Saccharomyces cerevisiae S288C: one gene and its partner. Changing the gene in region 1 together with any one later gene gives a genetic interaction. Each region holds a gene or a part of one and is shown in the gene's direction. Other genes may lie near its edges.

Region 1 (3,736 bases):
AAAGAATATTATTCGATATATTTATTTATTTTTATTCCGGCAATAATAAATCTGAAAACGAGTTACTCTTTCAAATGACATGATAGTTATCAAATCCAAATTCTTTAGGAGAGTGTGTAATTAGGTGAAATATTAATGGTTAACTTTCTGTTGTATTACGGGCTCGAGTAATACCGGAGTGTCTTGACAATCCTAATATAAACAGTCTTAGGGAAGTAACCAGTTGTCAAAACAGTTTATCAGATTAATTCACGGAATGTTACTTATCTTATATATTATATAAAATATGAATCATACTAAGTGGTGGAAGCGCGGAATCTCGGATCTAAACTAATTGTTCAAGCATTTATACGTTTGGGTAGTTCAGCTAGGGAAGGCCGTGTTTTATCTCATGTTGTTCGTTTTGTTATAAGGTTGTTTCATATGTGTTTTATGAACGTTTAGGATGACGTATTGTCATACTGACATATCTCATTTTGAGATACAACACTTTCGATCCAAATTGGTCTCTTGGCCCAGTTGGTTAAGGCACCGTGCTAATAACGCGGGGATCAGCGGTTCGATCCCGCTAGAGACCATTTTTATTTTTTCTCCTCTATTGTTAAAAATAGCTCTTTACTATCATAAACTTTTACATCAAAAGCTCAATAAGGCTAATTGTTGTGGAAAGACGCAGTTTGGTGAAGAGAACACTTCCTGTTTTTGTTTTCTACATATACATAAAGCCTATTGTAAGCGCTTCACTCCAGTTCTGAAGTAATAATCAAACCAATCAGGAGCAATATGAGGATTGTTATAAAACTCATCTCTTTCTATTCCTACAATGTTGCTCCCCTTATAGTGCAGAAGTATTTTCGCGCATGCAGAACCAGCCTGCCAGTAATTTTTAGGAAACTGGATTTTGGACGTATCCATTTTTAACTTGAATAAATTCCTTATTACTGTTTCATACGCCTCTTCAATGTTTACTATAATGATATTTTCTCTCAGTGGCCTTCTCAAGTCGATAGGAAGTGACTCTACAATATTTTTGACAAGATTTATTACCGGGGTTTCATCTACTTCACAATTTTTAGAGTTGTATTCTTCGTCAAAAAATATTGGCATGTAGAGACTGCCCGGGAGAGGAATTCTTGACTCAACCTGTCTTTTGCCTCGTTTTGAGTATTTTATGAACTGTTGCAAAGGTCTAAGGTCGAAAATAGGTACGCATGTAGTATAATTGGTACCTATATCTATAACTATGGCATTCCTTGTATTACAGGATAAGCAGTGCACAATGGCCCTGGGGACAAACGAAACGTGAGCGCAGTCAAATTCCTTAAACAAGATGCTACAAATAATTCTTTTCTCTACTACAGAAATGAAGATATCTTCTAGTATCAACACTTGTACTTCTCGATTTCCCAAGATGTTGCAAATTTGGAAGTAATGTTCAAATATTTTTTTCAATTCTTCCCTATTTTTTTCATTAATACTACCTGTTTTCCAGGCGATAATTTCTTGTGGACACGCATCAGCACTTCTTCCAATTTCGATTCTGTTAGCTCCCAAATAGACTATCACAATAGTATTCGACATTTCCTCATAGGGTTTCCTGGGTAGATTTTTTTTATCATTTCACAGTGTCGAATATTGTAGTATTTGTACCTCTTTTGTTTATGTCTCTCGGCTACAATAGAAGTTCCGACAATTAGATTCTAACAAAAAAGAGAACTGTTTTTGAGGTCTTTATGCCCCCAAAACGAAGTTTATAATCAAACAACAGATTTACTTCATATCAAAATACCCATCACAAAGTACAACAATCTACCATGGGTGCCGTAATTTCTTTGCCAGTTAGCATGGCGGGCTCATTCGTGGCGTCCTGTTTTGGAGGTTGCTGCTCAAACTTGGTGACTAAGACTGCATCTTCCCTAGGATCTTCTTCTTTAGGGACAAGACTTCTGTACGCCGTTTGGCTTTTACTTAACTCATTGATATCATGGGTGTCCTATTCTGCGAACAAATCAATCCTATGGCCAGGGAAGACATGTACTGGGACTGGGGAATGTGGATTTTTTACAGTTCATAGGTTGAATTTTGCATTGGGATGCTTACATTTGATATTGGCGCTTGTACTAACGGGCGTAAAGTCGACTAATGACGTAAGAGCAGCATTACAGAATTCGTGGTGGAGTTTAAAATTTATACTGTATTTATGTCTCATTGTTTTGTCATTTGTCATCCCCAATGACTTTTATATTTTCTTTTCCAAGTGGGTGTCAGTCCCTAGTGGAGCAATTTTCATCCTGGTTGGGCTTATATTATTAGTAGACTTCGCTCATGAGTGGGCTGAAACGTGTATTAGTCACGTTGAGTCAGAAGATGAAGATTCCTCATTCTGGCAACGATTTTTGGTTTTAGGGACAACTTCAATGTATACCGCATCGATTATCATGACTGTTGTTATGTATGTTATGTTTTGTCATCAACAATGTAACATGAATCAAACAGCGGTAACAGTCAATTTAATATTAACTGTTATAACGCTTGTCTTATCGGTGAATCCTAAGATCCAAGAGGCCAACCCTAAAAGTGGGCTGGCCCAAAGTAGTATGGTTTCTGTTTACTGTACTTATTTGACAATGAGTGCCATGTCTTCCGAACCGGATGACAAAATGTGTAATCCGTTGGTTAGATCTAGTGGAACCCGTAAGTTTAGTATCATTTTGGGCTCTTTATTTACTTTTATTGCGATTGCTTACACCACAACTAGAGCCGCTGCTAATAGTGCTTTTCAAGGCACCAATACTAATGGTGCTATATATCTCGGGAATGATATCGAGTACGAAGGACTAGGTGGACAGACAAGAAATCAGTTGAGGTATGAAGCTATTAAACAAGCTGTAGAAGAAGGATCTTTACCGGAAAGTGCCTTATATGATACCGCTTGGTTAGGGACATCATCTCCTACAGGCGCAATGGATAACCAAAATGATGATGAAAGGACTGGAACCAAGTACAATTACACTCTGTTCCACGTTATATTCTTTCTGGCAACCCAGTGGATTGCAATTTTACTAACAATAAACGTTACCCAGGATGATGTAGGTGATTTTATACCCGTAGGAAGAACATATTTTTATTCTTGGGTAAAAATAGTTAGTGCATGGATATGTTATGCCCTTTACGGTTGGACAGTGGTAGCCCCAGCGATTATGCCCGATAGATTTGATTACGAGAATTACTATTAAATAGACTAACACAAAAAGATTTTCTTATAATGTATGTAACTTTTTTTTAAGTAGCCCCCAGTAGAAACACTAATTTTACTATACTCATGCACTAGTTTCAAGAAGATGAGTAAACCTCCCTCAAAAAAAAATGGATCTTAATTATCTAATTGAGATATCGCTTCTCGAGGATTATTTTAACTATCCTCTATTTATTTGAAATGCCAATTACAGTTATTATCGATCGACCGTTTTCGAAGGATCTCTTTTCTTCTTTTAAAGGTAGAAAACATTCTCTCAACCTTCTTTATGCGATATTCGGAGTTTGCGCCGTGCTTCAAAGATATGGTAAAACAAAATCATTGTGGCTAAAGAAATGTCTGGTGAAAATATCAATAACAAAAGTCAGCATACAGTGATTGTAAAAGAAAGGGATTTGTCTTCGAAACATTTCGAAATATGGATTCTATCGTTAATGTTGTTGAAGACGATGTTAAGTACGCGCAGAGAGTGACTAGCTT
Region 2 (5,078 bases), on another chromosome or scaffold:
AAATAACTTACATGTTTGGTGATAGAGGTACTCCTGCTTCGTGGGCTAGTATGAACGCGTACTCTGGTCATTCCTTCATCATGGTCAACAAAGAAGGTAAGGACACATATGTGCAATTCCACGTCTTGTCGGATACTGGTTTTGAAACCTTGACTGGAGATAAGGCTGCTGAACTGTCAGGCTCCCACCCTGATTATAATCAGGCAAAGCTGTTCACTCAATTGCAAAATGGCGAAAAGCCAAAATTTAACTGTTATGTGCAAACAATGACACCCGAACAAGCAACTAAGTTCAGGTATTCGGTAAATGACCTAACGAAAATATGGCCACACAAGGAATTCCCTTTGAGAAAATTTGGTACCATCACCCTAACGGAGAATGTTGACAATTATTTCCAAGAAATTGAACAAGTTGCATTCAGTCCAACGAACACTTGTATCCCAGGTATTAAGCCTTCTAATGATTCCGTTCTACAAGCCAGACTTTTCTCCTATCCAGACACTCAACGTCATAGATTGGGAGCCAACTATCAGCAATTGCCCGTCAACAGACCAAGAAACTTGGGATGTCCATACTCCAAAGGTGATTCCCAATACACTGCCGAACAGTGTCCATTTAAAGCAGTGAACTTCCAAAGGGACGGCCCAATGAGTTACTACAATTTCGGTCCTGAGCCAAATTATATTTCCAGTTTACCAAATCAAACTCTGAAATTCAAAAATGAAGACAACGACGAAGTATCTGATAAGTTCAAAGGGATAGTTCTTGACGAAGTAACAGAAGTTTCTGTGAGAAAACAGGAACAAGACCAAATCAGAAACGAGCATATTGTTGATGCCAAAATTAATCAATATTACTACGTTTATGGTATTAGTCCACTAGACTTCGAACAGCCAAGAGCTCTATATGAAAAGGTATACAACGATGAACAGAAGAAATTATTCGTTCATAACGTTGTTTGCCACGCTTGTAAGATCAAAGATCCTAAAGTCAAAAAGAGAGTTACGCAATACTTTGGTTTGCTAAACGAAGATTTGGGTAAAGTCATTGCAGAATGCTTGGGAGTTCCTTGGGAACCTGTTGACCTTGAAGGTTATGCCAAGACTTGGTCCATTGCAAGTGCCAATTAAGGCAGCACTATTTATTCATAATTATTCGTAATTATATCTCCATAATTATTTATTCATAAGTTTTCTTTAAGTTTATTCTCTACATCACTAGTTATTACAAATTGGTCGTATGTACAAGCACTAATATTTCATACTTATCGTACTTCATACATAGCAAATCCTGTTAGGAAAAATATGGCAGCAAAACAGATTGGCTGCCTACTTTTGACACATTTTTTTCTAATTCGGTACTTAGATCGGCATGAACTCAACGATTATCGCATTATACGGACAATCTGAAAAAAAAAAGTAGCCTAACTTATGCAGTTGTGTGTTTATAACGTTGAATTCCTAAACCTCTTGAAGGTGTAATATAACAAGTAACATAACTAGGTTTTCACAACTCGTTAGTTTCTATTAAAAGAGGAATAAACAAATTTTATTAGGACTAAGAGGATTATACAGAGTACCAGCAGAGAAAACTTTAAATTCTTTCTGTTATAATAATATCTTACCAAAGTTTTTTGTTTTCTATCTCCACATTTTTCGTACCATCTCTTTAGGTAATCACTCTGAATAACTTTTATTCATATACACCCCAATATTTTTTAAGATTCCACCTATCTCCGTTACATAAAAGGATCCATGCACAATTTTCATGGAGGAACAATTTACTAATCAGAAGAAAGTATCACATCTACAGTCATTAATGAACACTAAAAGGAGTGAACAGCCCACCGAATTTGCCAAAAAACATAGGTTTAAAGATACGCTTGCATTGTTCCTGGTTTTTTTGAGTTTTAACCACTTCACTTCCCTATGTTTATTGGTTTCCTTTATTGTTGCTACCAAATGCAAAGATTTTCTGGCAAATTGTTTTATTATACTTTTCCTATCGAAAAAACCTTCCCGCCATATCGGTGAAGTGGCGCACATAGATATAAGTACTTCCAAAGTGACCAATGGTAGTTCAAACCGAAAATCTAATTCACGATTTTTTGGCAATTCAAAAAATAGCTTCGTCATTCCGATCCCCGTATTAATTTGTGAAATTTTATTTGCAATGTTACTAAAGATTTACGGTGGCGATTATTTTGTTAAGCCAATAAAAAATCTGGCAATTTCTATTATTGCCTCATTTTTGATCAATGATCCAAGCGATTGCTTAAGCTATGCAACTTCATGCTCAGTATTGTATGCTGTGTCAACTAACACTTTTCAAAGAGTGTCACACTTCTTTGACATTATACAGTTATTTGATATGTCTTTACGAGGAACCGGCCAATCAATTAAATTATTCACGGTTTTTCGCAAGTATTCACAGTTTTTCAAAAAGCTTTTCTCTCTATTTTTGCCAATGCCTTTCAAGATGCTTGGCAAACATTCAGACAGTATGATTTATTATCTATCCTTTCACATCCTTTTTTTCTCATTTGCTTCAAGTTTATTACACCCTCATAGACAAACAGCGGAAAACAAGCCATTGAAAAAGGGTTTCAATTCAACTAAACCAGATGTAGCCCGTGTTCAAGGTCTGCAAAAGATGAGAATTTCTTCTTCTTCTTCCGTTTCTGCCGATTCGAACACTTTAGAGGACCAAAGTCCTATGATACCGAACGATCCAGGTGGACTTAGCAGCAGCAATCAAACTATCCATCCATCCCAACAAAATAACTCGCCAGTTCCCCTATCATCACACAGTAATATTTTGAACCCTGCCGCCTCTTATCCTACTGATGCTACTTCTAGTTTTCCCTATTTCACTTCTATGGTCAAGGAATATAAGTCATATCAGCCATCGGTAATCTCTGCTGAAGGAAGCAATTCTCAAGCCGTTACTACTACTACCAGTACAACAACCTCTCCTACAACGTTCAACTTTTCTGGTGATAACACTAGTTTGTCAAATGAAATCTCTCTATCTGATTCCTCGAATGGAAATTCGAAAAAGGATTCTGATTTCTTTTCCCCTTCCAATGACAAGTATACTAACCAACTGTTTGAACTGAATGTTGATTTTGGGAACATGTTTTCTTCTAGCAAATTATCTTCAGACATATCTGTTACATCAAACTTGGAAAATTTTATCCGTCTTCTATTCAGAAGAAAGAATCAACACTTGATTGCACCTCTTTGGTCTATGGTAGTTACATTAAAAACAACGAATTTTGAAAAAAAATACTTACAAGAAACCTCTGAAAATTCACTAACACCAACAAATTCGAATACTTCATACGTCAGTAATCAGGAAAAACATGACAAAGATTTGGACACGATTAATACACATTCAGTTTCATCAAGAATTAGTTTCACCCATGCCGGAAAGTTTAAGAAGAGCGTGTTTAACAATTTCGAACCTTCAAATACTATGGCCCTGATTGCAAAGACAACATCTGATGACTACAATCTTTTAAATTTAGTTTCCACCAATGAAAATATTTTCAATAGAAATGATAATGACTACAAAGTTTGCATTATTGATATTAGCACAAACTCTATTACATTCCATATTGAAAATTTACATGATGGCGAACTCATTGTTTTAGTAAACGGTGTTATCTGGTCAGAAGTTTCTTGCGCTTTAATTTTAGAGCATGTAGGCGAAGAATACGTTGTCGTTAACGGATTAGTCCCTTCTTGTTCTTATGATATTCAATTCATCAACAGACTAAATCACCGAGATGATTATTTGGTTTCTGATTTAATTGTAAGGACTTGTGGGAATAACAATGCGATTGCCGGAAAATTTGAAAACCTTGATTTCAGCTTCCCTTCATACTACCATAGGAAATTCTTATCTCCGTTGCTAACTCTGAAGCATTCCGTGCTAACTACAAACGCAAATTTGTCCGATGAAAGGACAAAATTGAAAAAGACAAAAAAGGAATTCAGCAAGAAGTTAAGTCTTTTGAGACAAGAAATTGATTATTTTAAAGGCAGGATTTCACAGAACGCAACACATGACGAAAAGAGCACTTTAAAAGTCGAAAATTTGAAGGTTGCCCTACAGCAAAGTGAGACTGCGGTAAATAAGTTAGAGATGCAATTGAAAACTCTCACTGAAAAAGAGCTTGAATTAGAAGAGGAATACTTGAAAAAGAAAGATCTACACTTGAAAAATCAATTAGAGTTCAGTAAGTTAGAAGAAAGCTTATCGAAAGACCTGAAAAACTCAGAAGGGAGGTTCCAAAAGGTCAATCAAGAATTAGTTCAACTAGGCTCTAAACTGGACAAATTGAACGCGAGAAACGAGAAGTTACAAAAGGAGGTCGATCAGAACGCAGAAGAGATAGAAAAGTTCAGTACTCAATTTTTGAGTAAAAGAGAAAAGGATAGATTTAGAAGAAAGGAGTACAGGATACGCGAAGCCAATAAATTTGAATTGACTATAAAGGGGTTAGAGCAAGATATCAACAGATTAGAAAATGAGAATGAAAATATACATAGTCTAATTGGTAATAGTTACTGATGGAAGATTAGAAAACAAAGATAGATAAGAATTCGTTTTGTAGCATCCTAAAATTTACTTCTATTGAATATATACATGTATTTATTACTTGGACGTTCTACTTTAAATGTAGTCAGTCGTTTTTTTCTCGATATTGTTTTTTTATTGTTTCCTAATAACTTCATTTGTTACTTTTTTGCCTTTTGTTATTTATGGAAATAATGCAGGTTAACATAAGTAAACATAAAATATGAGAAAAACTAAGAATGTTTGCTGATGTATTGAACAGTTCACATCGTTGTGTCTACTATTAACACTAAGTTGTTGATCAAAACATTCCCTAATTAATAGCTGCCCCAGGACTTGGAAGGCCACACTACTCTCCATGACATCAAAGATACGGCCCAAATAATCTGTATCCTCGATATGAACTTAGGACCACATATTTGGAGCTTGTCCAAAATACTAAAATGGCAGATAACAATTAGATGGTTCCAATTCAAATACATTACAAGCTACGA

The links.
Region 2: mutations in TMS1 (region 1) and NNF2 together harm fitness more than expected from each alone (negative genetic interaction), as found in Saccharomyces cerevisiae (2 studies listed by BioGRID).

Annotation. Positions count from the first base shown.
Region 1 is NC_001136.10:664,849-668,584, reverse strand, and holds TMS1 (Tms1p), read left to right. Parts: upstream 1-1,814; coding exon 1,815-3,236; downstream 3,237-3,736. Other genes in the region: ARP10 (Arp10p), read right to left, coding at 727-1,581; SPO71 (Spo71p), read left to right, coding at 3,675-3,736.
Region 2 is NC_001139.9:655,193-660,270, forward strand, and holds NNF2 (Nnf2p), read left to right. Parts: upstream 1-1,767; coding exon 1,768-4,578; downstream 4,579-5,078. Other genes in the region: CTT1 (catalase T), read left to right, coding at 1-1,130.